Linked DNA regions of Ovis aries. The protein of the gene in region 2 purifies or fractionates together with the protein of the main gene of each other region. This does not show direct contact. Links are inferred from orthologs where the notes say so. Each region holds a gene or a part of one and is shown on either strand. Other genes may lie near its edges.

The links.
Region 1: the proteins of RTN4 (region 2) and NADH-cytochrome b5 reductase 3 purify together in Homo sapiens (affinity purification with mass spectrometry; 3 studies listed by BioGRID and IntAct, counting the BioPlex papers as one, with this or other methods). This does not show direct contact. The link is inferred for Ovis aries from reciprocal best matches to the Homo sapiens genes RTN4 and CYB5R3.
Region 3: the proteins of RTN4 (region 2) and ATL3 purify together in Homo sapiens (affinity purification with mass spectrometry; 4 studies listed by BioGRID and IntAct, counting the BioPlex papers as one, with this or other methods). This does not show direct contact. The link is inferred for Ovis aries from reciprocal best matches to the Homo sapiens genes RTN4 and ATL3.

The regions. Positions count from the first base shown.
Region 1 is NC_056056.1:219,410,894-219,414,541, reverse strand, and holds part of NADH-cytochrome b5 reductase 3, read left to right. Parts: intron 1-812; coding exon 813-944; intron 945-3,648. UniProt on the Homo sapiens protein: Catalyzes the reduction of two molecules of cytochrome b5 using NADH as the electron donor.
Region 2 is NC_056056.1:68,964,170-68,967,917, forward strand, and holds the start of RTN4 (reticulon-4), read left to right. Parts: upstream 1-1,054; 5' UTR 1,055-1,264; coding exon 1,265-1,829; intron 1,830-3,748. UniProt on the Homo sapiens protein: Required to induce the formation and stabilization of endoplasmic reticulum (ER) tubules. They regulate membrane morphogenesis in the ER by promoting tubular ER production.
Region 3 is NC_056074.1:38,478,708-38,482,355, reverse strand, and holds part of ATL3 (atlastin-3), read left to right. Parts: intron 1-607; coding exon 608-822; intron 823-960; coding exon 961-1,104; intron 1,105-3,648. UniProt on the Homo sapiens protein: Atlastin-3 (ATL3) is a membrane-anchored GTPase that mediates the GTP-dependent fusion of endoplasmic reticulum (ER) membranes, maintaining the continuous ER network. It facilitates the formation of three-way junctions where ER tubules intersect.

The DNA.
Region 1 (3,648 bases), about 150 Mb from region 2:
ACTGATGTCATAAGAGAATGGCTGGGGAGGGAGGTGGACTCGGGCTGGAATCCCAGCTCCCCACCTGCCAGCTGTGTGCCTTTGGGTGAGTTGCTTCACCTCCCTGAGCCGTTCCCTTGTCTGTAAAGCAGCAGTGACGTCAGCACCTGCTTCAGAGTCGTCGTGAGGTTAACCCCCGTGTGGGGCTCAGCACGATGCGGAGAGCTTCAGGGGGCCTTGCAGATCACCTTTGTCCAGTTCAGTTCAGAGGAGGGGAGAGGACTCGACCAGGGCCACCCAGCCAGCAAGGAGCAGAGCTTCCCAGCATCCGGCTCAGTGCCCCGGCTGCCCCTCACATCTGAAAGCAGAACCCCAGGGCTCAGGGGTTTGTCTGTAGAGAGCTAGCACTTGACACCACTTAATGCAGTCAGGGAGATTGACTCGAGGAGGGAGGAAGGGAGCACAGATATGCAGTACTCAAGGTTAAGCACAGGTACTTGGGAACTTTGTGCTGAGCTTCCTGGCAGCCATAGTGAAAAGGGGCTACATGCTCAGTTATGTAGCTTTCTTTGTCCCTGTTCCTCAGGTGAAATGGAGCTTTTCCAGTGATGTAGTAATACACTGATGAGTTTCATGAGTCTGAGTTTTGTATTAATAGCGTCTCCCAGCTGGCACCAAGATGGAGTCGGGGTGCCTGGATGAAGTGGAGAGAGGGTGTTCATGGCAGAGGAGCGGTCCAGAGGTGTGGACCAACTGGTGTGTTTGGGGGAAGTGCAGGGGGTAGACCCTCCCTGGGGCCGAGCTGACCTCTCGTGTCTGCCCTGTCGTTTCAGTTGGGCCACGTGGTCCTCTCCCCAGTCTGGTTCCTGTACAGCCTGATCATGAAGCTGTTCCAGCGCTCCACCCCGGCCATCACACTCGAGAATCCAGACATCAAGTACCCGCTGCGGCTGATTGACAAGGAGGTCAGTGCGGGGCCTGAGGGGTCATGGGGCACAGGCACCTCTCTCTCTTTCTCAGCATCAGAGCATTTCGTGGGCATCTACTGTGTGCTTAGGGTACGGACCCTCTTGAAGTAGATCCCATTATTTGCCCATTTTACAGATGGGGAAAGTGAGGTGATGTCCATTTCTAAGGTCTTCCCAGGTGGCACTAGTGGTAAAGAACATGCCTGCCAATGCAGGAGACATAAGAGATGCGGGTTCAATCCCCTGGAGGAGGGCCTGGCATCCCACTCCAGTATTCTTTTTTTTTTTTCACTGTTTTTCAAAAAATGTATTTTCGGTGGTTTTACATCAAATTTATTGTAAGAACAGTTGGAATAATTAAAATACAAGCTTCACTTTTATTTTTTGCAATTGACTGTCTTTATATTTTGGACTTCTTTATACCATGACTATTTCATTTTTTTGAGTTAATCATTGAATGTATTTTCAGCATAATTTATTGCTTCTTAAGAGTATCTTGGCTCTTCAGCATAATTGATTTCCTCTCTAGAACTGGCTGTGAAGGCTTTTATAAATGTTGACACTAACTTCAAGTATATGGCTGGTCATTCGTGTACACTCCAGTATTCTTGCCTGGAGAATCCCATGGACAGGGGATCCTGGCGGGCTACAGTCCATGGAGTCACAAAGAGTCGGACATGACTGAAGCGACTTGGCATGCATGCACGCATATCCATTTCTAAGGCTACCAGTAAATTACTGAGGGATTTGAACCCGGGTCTTTGACCACAGAGCAGGTTCTCTGAGCCACACTTACTATCCCACAGAAAATCAGAGTGGGAGCGATGCTGTACTTGGACTTTTGGGTCCAAGTACCCATTTAACAGATGTGAAAACAGAGGGCAAGAGAGGATTAACTCAGGTCACATTGTGAGCTAGGGGTTGGGTTAGGACTCAGGCATAGGCCTCGTGGTCATCCAGGGTGCCGCATCCCAGGGCCCGTTCCTTATAGATAAGGTCTCCTCCCCTTTCCTTCCCTCTCTCCCAGGCCCACCCACCCAGGGCCCCTAGAGTCCTGATTCCCTGCGTGTCCCCATGGTCTTGACTGTGGCTGTGTCTGCACAATGCTTTTCCTTTTTCAAACCTCCGATCGTGGCTTTGATTTAAAACCATCCTCTCCCCATCTTTGCCCAGCCGCCCACCCTATAGGGCCGCTTCCCTCGTCACTCCCCCCATCAAAGCCTCCCCCGTGCTATTTCTGGCCACAGGCAGCTGCCTCAGAAGGGGTGTGGCAGGGAGGAACTGAGTCATGGGGCAGAGAAAGCCAGTCACCTGCTGCAAGCCTGAATCCTGGGCTCTGGTCTGTGCCCTGGGCTCCACGTTAGAGCTGCAGCGCCTGTGACCGTAATTGTACCAGGAGTTCTTCTTAGAAGTCGAAAACCAGAAAGAGGCCAAAAAAAAAAAAAAAAAGACCACTTCCCAGATGAGACCAGACTTAGTCCTTTCAGTATGTCCTGTACACAATTTTTTCCTACTAAAATGAAATCACAATGTTTTGAATGCTTTTCTTTTCAGAAAGTTCTTTTTCCTTGTTTTTTTCACCACGTGGCTTGTGGGATCTTAGTTCCCGGACCAGGGATTGAACCCCAGCCACGGCAGTGAAAGCCCAGAATTCTAACCCCTAGGCCACCAGGGAACACCCTTGTTACTGTTTTTTAATTCCAGAAGTAATGTATGATTTACATGTGCTCGCTGTAAAAATTGTACTTTTATAAAAAAAAGGCACATATTTATACGTGCTCTGTTCTCAAGGTGCGAATGTTCCCCTCCCCTGCACCATGACCCCTGTGCAAGAGGGTCCCGGTCACGGGTCATCGTGAGCCTTCCCTGGCGTCACATTTGTTATGTACATGACGTGTGGACGTTCAGGTGTGTGTATACTTAGTTTCTCTTTTTAAATAACCTAACATTTTTACCTGGCTGTACGACATGGACTTCCCTGGTGGCTCAGACGGTAAAGAATCTGCCTGCAGTGCAGGAGATGCTAGTTCAATCCCTGGGTCGGGAAGGAAATAGCAATCCACTCCAGTATTCTTGCCTGGAGAATCCCCGTGGACAGAGGACCCTGGCGGGCTGCAGTCCAGAGTCAGACGCGACTGAGCGACTACCACTTTCACCTTCACACATCGCACAGACCCCTTTTCATGTCTAACCCAAAGCCGAGTCATCCCGTTTGACAGCTCTCTGGTGTTTGTCACAGGGATGTCCGCAGTGGACCCTGCAGGCCCCTGTGATTGAGCAGGCGGCGAGTGTCCAATGTCCTAGCAGTTACCCTCCCCCATTGTAGCCTCCTGGTGGCTTTGCAGGGTCAGCAGGTGGACTTGCTCTCGCTACTTGCTGTGGCTCAGGGAAGGGTCCCGGACGCCCGCCCTTCCCCTGTCCGAGCGGGCCTGGACCAGGTGATGGGCAGGGTCGCCCTGAGCTCTGAGAACCTACTGCTCAGCTTGTTGTGGCCAGGGGCTTCTTGGAAGCAGCAGCATGCCAAGCTCTCTCAGACGTCAGCCTCGTGAGTTTTGCTGTCCTGGGCTGGAGGTCGTCAAACACAGTAATCTTCAGGGACTTTGCCTCATTTCTGTGCTTCCTCCAAAAATGTCTGGCATGTGGATTTCTGACCTCGAACCCCAGGACTGGTTGATAATCCTGGAATCCACTTGCAGGAGGC
Region 2 (3,748 bases):
TAAATGTTCTGCAGTCACTTTCTTTAAACTCTCCAGTTCTGGAAAAAGTGGAATGGGGATTATACTCATTTTGATATATCAAAGAAATGAGTATGTATGTATCCTGACTCCCAGAAAGCCTGAATCATCCAGAATGTTGACTCATGGGCCTAAGGTGACTGAAATACAATGTGAATCAAATTTGCCTTCCAAGGCATCCTTCTCTTTCCACTTTCCTCTCTCTCCTCCCTCTTTTGGGTGACTCATCCTTCTACCAGTTAAGTCCAGCAGCGTGCAGATCCCAAAGCCCTCTTTGAAGAAGTACAGACTCATCAAATGGTCTGTTCCAGTCAGTCCCTATATCGTCTAGCCTAGTTGTTTTGCCTACCTCATCCAGGGTCTGCAGTTAAGACTGGGAGTGACTTTAAACCTGTAAAAAATATTATTTTTTCTTTTAAGGTGGTGATGGTGATCCCCTTAAGGTGATAAGGTGGCTTGGGAATTTAAGTTTGAAAGAAAACAAATTTTCATTTCGAAATTTACAATTTAACGTTTGCTTCAATCCTTAGGGCCTACTCCACAGTACCGTTATTCATAACCTTCCTGCGCTCTGGGTTTTTTCCTTTCCTGGGAGGAAAGTTTCCACTCCCAGTCTCCAAGATAACGCCCTTCCGGTGGCGTGCCAGGAACGTCTCCGACCCCTCAGTGCTGGGAGGGAGTCGTTTCGTTTTCTCAGTGCTGTAAACACACAGACTCCAGCTTCGCCAGGGCCAAGACCAAGACCCCAGCCGGACCCGCAACTACCCTAGGCAGTCGGTGGGGTTCCCAGCTCCAAACCCCGCCCATCGAACCCACCCGAGCCGGTAAGAGAGAGGAAGTGCAGTGAGACCCACCCACTTTCGTCTTTTTCCTTTTCTGTTGGGCCGACTGGTTGCCCGTCAACTCTATTTCTTCGCCGATTGGCTCACTCCCTCCCGCGTTAGTGCCTCCCTCTCCCTGGCTGGGAGGGTGTCACGCCAAACTGGGCGGAGCGTCGGCTGGCCTCTCTCCTTCTCTCATCTGGGCGGCGGCGGCGGCAACTGGGGACGGGGCGGGTGGCGCATCACGGGCGCGGAGGCTGGAGGAGCAGTCTCATTGTTCCGGGAGCTGTCGCCACTGCAGGTCCCTCGGCTCGTTGGGCCCTGCCCCTCTCAGTCCTCCCCGCCCCCCACAACCGCCCGCGGCTCTGAGAAGAAGCTTCTCCGGCGGAGGCAGCAGCTGCAGCATCACCTCTGACCTGCCAGCCATGGAAGACATGGACCAGTCGCCTCTGGTCTCCTCGTCCTCGGACAGCCCGCCTCGGCCTCAGCCCGCATTCAAGTACCAGTTCGTAAAGGAGCCCGAGGACGAAGAGGAAGAGGAGGAGGAGGAAGACGAGGACGAGGACGAGGACCTGGAGGAGCTGGAGGTGCTAGAGAGGAAGCCCGCCGCCGCGCTGTCGGCGGCCCCGGTGGCCGCAGCCGCCGCCACCCCGGCTAGCGCGCCCCTGCTGGACTTCGGCAATGATTTCGTGCCCCCGGCGCCCAGGGGGCCACTGCCGGCCGCGCCTCTCGCCGCTCCGGAGCGGCAGCCGTCTTGGGACCCGAGCCCCGTGTCGTCGTCGGTGCCCGCGCCGTCCCCACCCTCCATTACAGCAGACTCGCACTCCAAGCTCTCTGAGGACGAGGGGCCTCCGGCCCGGCCTCCCCCTCCTCCACCGGCCGACGTGAGCCCTCAGGCCGAGCCCTCGTGGACCCCGGCTGCCCCAGCCCCCGCCGCGCCCCCCTCCACGCCGGCCGCGCCCAAACGCAGGGGCTCCTCGGGCTCAGTGGGTGAGTGCCGCGCCCTCCGCCTCGCGCCGCCCCTCGCGCCCCTCCCTCTTTTGTGCGCAGCCCCTAAAGCCTGGACCCTGCCCTTCTGTCCATCCGGAGGGGGCTTTGTCTGCAGATCTTTGGGCGAAGGCGCCCCCGCTGGTGGGAGCCGCGGGGAGCAGGGTGGGGCGGCAGAGGAAGCTCCGGCTTACTCTTTATTGTCCGTCTGGGTATCGGGGAGCACGTGCGCCCCGACCGCTCCCGGGTTGTTCTGTCTGCTCTCCATTCCACCGGGTCGGGGAAGTTAGGAACCCACCCCTTGCAGGAACTGGGTCTGTAATGAGGGAACTAGGGGTGTGGATTCATCGGGCTGCCTTGGTTCCGGGATGAGGATGGAAGGCCTTGGCGCCCTAATCTTTTGTCTGCCCAACTAGGTTGCTCCTGAGGAAAAGACGCAGTTTCTTGCTGGTCTTTGCCTGCATTCAGCCCTGGCCCCTCTCCTCACCCCTTCCTTGGCTTGGGTGGCCCCATGCTCTTCATCTCCCCCGCCCCGGCCCCGCGCTCGTGGGGAGCCGGTCCAGTGGAAAACGTCCACATTGACCTGACTGCAGTGAAGGGACAGCGCCTCCAGTGGTGTGACGCGTGGAGAATTGCGGAGCGGAGTTTCGGCGAGGTCCTGCCACCGCCCAGTTTACCCGGGTTGTGATGTGGCTATTTACCACCAGCTTAACGGCGCCGGGGAAATGGGACCTGGGCACCGTGTTCCAAGGGGGCGCAGTTCTGCCGGGAGCTCTGCCGCAGAAGGAGGGGAACAGTTGTTAGGATGCACAGGTTTAGTCTCAATGCATCGTAATTGAATCGTAGAGATAAAAGGAAAAGGCAAAATGGTTGACATTCCCAAAGAAGGGGAAACCTGTGGATTCCCTGGCGGGAAGAGGACAGTTGAACTTCTGGCAGATTTACCATGGGACTTCATGAAATGTTTTCAGACAGACGTTTTCATCTGTTGGTTAGAAATACTGTTTCGTAGAAGTAATATATTTTAGGGCTGCAGAGACAGATTTGCATTGTCCGTAAATAGTTTTCAAATCTTTTCATTTACCAGCACCTGATTGTTATTACTGTTATTAGGAAAAATTGTTTTATTATCCTTTTCATTTTGGGAGATTGTTTATTTTGGAAGAGAAAAAAGTTTGTTAGAGGTTGAGAATTCATCCTATTAGACACGTTAATTAACTTATTAACAAGTAGCTTGTTAGTTTGGGGACAGAAAGCGTCGCACTAGAAGTAGGACCTTTATGTGTAAATAGGCAAGGATCAAGAATCAGGTAGTGTAACAGTCTGGTGAGAAATTGTCATAGCCTTGTAGGATTTTAGAGCCGGTTGTTTTTCTAGAAAAAGATACTCAGTGGGAGATCATGGAAGAATTTTCTTTTCTTCGGCTCACTCCTGCACCACAAGGAAGAAAAATAAGTCAATAGTGATATCGACATACCCCACAGCATTACTCAAAACATTAATTACTACACTACAGATAATTAGAATGTGAGAAGTAACTCAAGTTTTCCTTTTTATGAGTGAAAACACATTTCGAGAAACTAAAGTAAGGTGGAAAAATATCAAGTAATAAGACATTTACAAATGATAAATTTAATGATTAAGAAAAGCAAACTGATTTTTCATATTGTATTCCTGTGTGGCAACAAAAGAGTTCTGTGCTTTGAACCTTGGAGAGTCAGGAGGTGACAGCATTCTTTCTGTATTTTGACTTTAGGAATACTAACTTTGGAAGACAAAGGAGAGAATGTTGAGTCACTTAGCGATTCTATCTTTACATGGCTCCCTAATTCTGTATTGATGTTGCCTATCTAGAAATTTTAGTTCCTTTAGGACATAAAGGAACACTGTGATTATGGTCAGATAGTTAAACCATGTCACTG
Region 3 (3,648 bases), on a different chromosome or scaffold from region 2:
GGATATCCTTTTTAAATTAAATGCCTGTTCATAATCTTTTGCTTATTACTCTTCTTAAAGGTGGAATAGTTGTCTTTTTCTTTGGGATTTCTCTAATGATTCTGGATATGAGTCCTTTGGATTTAGGTGTTAAAATATTTTCTTTTAGCCTGTAACTTGCATTTTTACTCCCTTAATGATATCTTTTAATGAACAAAAGTCTTAATTTTAGTGAAATCTAATTAATTTGTCTTTTTTTTTTTTAATGGTTGGGTGCATTTGTGCTCTGTTTAAAAACTTTTTACTCTTCCATGCTAATGGCAACCCACTCCAGTACTCTTGCCTGGAAAATTCCATGGATGGAGGAGCCTGGTGGGCTGCAGTCCATGGGGTTGCTAAGAGTCGGACACGACTGAGCGACTTCACTTTCACTTTTCACTTTAATGCATTGGAGAAGGCAGTGGCACCCCACTCTAGTATTCTTGCCTGGAGAATCCCAGGGACGGGAGAGCCTGGTGGGCTGCCGTCTATGGGGTTGCATAGGGTCGGACATGACTGGAGCGACTTAGCAGCATGCTAAAAATACATATATTTGAAACTTTTTTTTTTAATCTCTATAACAACATAGGTGATGCTATGGAGAGTGGAAAGCCTTGTCCAGTGCAGGTTGTTTTGGTTCAGAAAGACCAACATTCCTTTGAGCTAGAAGAGAAAGCCTTGGCCAGCATCCTCTTACAGGACCACATCCGAGAGCTTGACGTGGTGGTGGTGTCAGTGGCTGGTGCCTTCCGAAAGGGCAAGTCCTTCTTTCTGGACTTCATGCTACGATACTTATATTTCCAGGTAAGGTAGAGTTACTTCATTTCAAATTGGAAAGTGGAGACTCTTGTGTCCAAAAGAGCAAACTCACCTCATGAGTTATCCTTGATGTGTAAAGTTACTTGAATAAGTTTTAATGGAAATTTCTTATTTCTCCTACAGAAGGAAGGTGGCCATTCAAACTGGTTAGGTGACCCAGAAGAACCGTTGACAGGGTTTTCATGGCGAGGGGGCTCTGACCCAGAAACCACCGGAATTCAGATCTGGAGTGAGGTTTTCACTGTGGAGAAGCCAGGTGGAAAGAAGGTAGGGAAGAAAAAGACTTACAAACTAACAAACAGTGAAATGGAAACTTTGATGTGTAGTCTGATAATCCAGTTAGAATGACTTTTGTCAAAATGATATAAGTTCAAGATTTAAAAATAATGCATGAATGCAGTTTAAAAGGCCAGTGGTAACGGAAGGCTTCTAACATGACCTAGTCCTCCATCTGCTCATTTTCACTTCCAGAGGCTAATGCTCTCAGCTGTTCAGAAGTTACTTTGCATTCTTACATCTGTCAACATTCACTCCACCCACCCCCCCGGCTGTCAGCAGCTCCTCTCATGAGCCTCCTAAGCTTCAGTGCAGAGCTTCTCCCCAGATTTCTTTGTAAGGGTCAGCTGGGGCAAGGTATATGTCTCCTCAAGTGGAAAGAGAGAATTTGGGGTTACGACTGTTTCTTAAATAGACTTTAACCCCTTCCTTCTGTTTTTAGTCTCACCCTAAAGCATGTTTTCACGGTTGTTTGTGCCTCTCATTTTTTGAGTCTTTCCAAGGCTTAAGATTTCGTATCTCCCCTTCACATTGTTCAGTTTCAGTCTTTTCCTTGATGTTAAGTTATTAAATATTTTGGGAGACGGAGAATTGATGCATGACTCTTGATCACTGTTTCCACAGCTTCTGTTTTATTTTATGAATTTCCTTATTATTTCTTTAAATATTTTGTTTCTCTCTGTTTTAGTGAAGTTTCAGGAGAAAGGTATATTAGAAAACCCTCTAATTTTTTTTCAATGCTTAGATATGCATACAAAAAAAATGTATAGCAAAATAGGGAGATTTTTACACTTTTTTTTTTAAAGGAAGAGAATGTAGAGGAATCCCTGGCAGTCCAGTGATTGGGGCTGTGTGATCACTGCCGAGTGCGTACGTTCAGTTCCCGGTCAGAGTACTAAGATCCCATAAGCCGTGGGGGCGAGGGGGTGGGTGGGTAGGAAGAGCCTGGGAGGAGAATGAGGATTTTTTGAAATATAACATTAGAAACTTTTGCTTGGAGGAATCTTTAGATATTATTTTATCCATTCTTTAATTTTTTTAACAGCTTTATTAAGATGCAATTGATATTCCATTTCTCCCCTCCCAACTTTTGAGCTTTTGTCATATATTTTACTGTAATAACGTTGTTTTTATTTTTATTTATGTTTAAATGTTCAGTTATCTTTTAAAGATATTTAAATAATAAGAAAAAAGCCATGTACTTACACACGCAGTTACCATTAACTAACTGTGCTTCACTTTCTGCGTCCAGATTTCTGTTTTTTGTGTTCATTTTTCCTCCCACTTGAAGGACTTCCTTTAATAGTTCTTATAGCGCTACTCTTCTGCTGTGGAAATCTTTTAGCTTTTGTTCTGTGTCTGAAAAGTATTTCACCTTTGTTTTGAAAATAGTTATGCTGGGTATAGAATTCTAGGATGGGAGTTTTATTCTTCAGTGCTTCTGAGATGTCAGTCCCCTGCCTTTTTGCTGACATTGTTTCTGCTGAGAAATCTGTTATTATCCTTATTTTTGTTTGTCTCTGTTTAATGTGTCTTTTTTTGTCTGGTTGCTTAAAAATTTTTTTTCTTTATCTTTTTTTTTTTTAGCAATTTGATTATGACATGTCTGTGTTTTGAGCTTTTTCAATATGCGGATTTATAATTTTTATAAAAATCAAACATTTGGGGGGCCATTGCTTCTTCAAATATTTTTTTGTCCCTTATCCTCTTTGGGGAGTCCTGTTATACATGTATGTCAGTCTGCCTGAAGTTGTCCCGCAGCTCACTGATGCTCCATTCATTGAAAAGATTTTATTTCTCTGTTTCCTTTTGGATAGTTTCTGTTGCTCAGTCTTCTAGTTCACCAATCTTTTAAATCTGTTGTTAATCCCATCTAGTGTATTTTTTTCTTTAAATATCTTTTCTTTATTATTTATTTTCACTGTACTGAGTCTTAATTGTGGCTCACAGGGCCTTTGTCACGGCATAGGGGCTTCTTCGTTGCGGCAGACGTGGTGTCTAGTTTCCTGACCGGGGATTGAACACAGGCCCCCTGCATTGGGAGTGTGGAGTCTTACCCGCTGGACCATCAGGGATGTCCCTCATCTAGCGTGTTTTTCATTTCAGACATTGAGATTTTCATCTTCAGAAGTTTATTTTAGGTCTTTTTTTTTTTAATGTTTTTCATGCCACTTAACTTTTTGAATGTATGAAGTACAGGTATACAGAATACTGTTTTAGAGTCATTTTCTATTTTAAATCTGTGACAGTGATTTTTTTTCTCATTTGGGTGGTATCTTTGCATGCTCATTTGGGTGGTATCTTTGCATGCCTGCAAACTTTTGGTTGGATGCCAGATGTGTGAATTTTAACTAGTTGGATGCTGGATATTTTTGAATTCCCATAAAATACTTAGCTTGTTATATGGGATGCATTTAAGAAACTTGGAAGCTGATGGATCTTTTTGGGTCTCGCTTTTGAATTTAGGGTTTGTTAAATGAGACAGCTGTATCTAAGCTAGAGCTATTTGTTCCTTACTACTGAGGCAAGACTTTA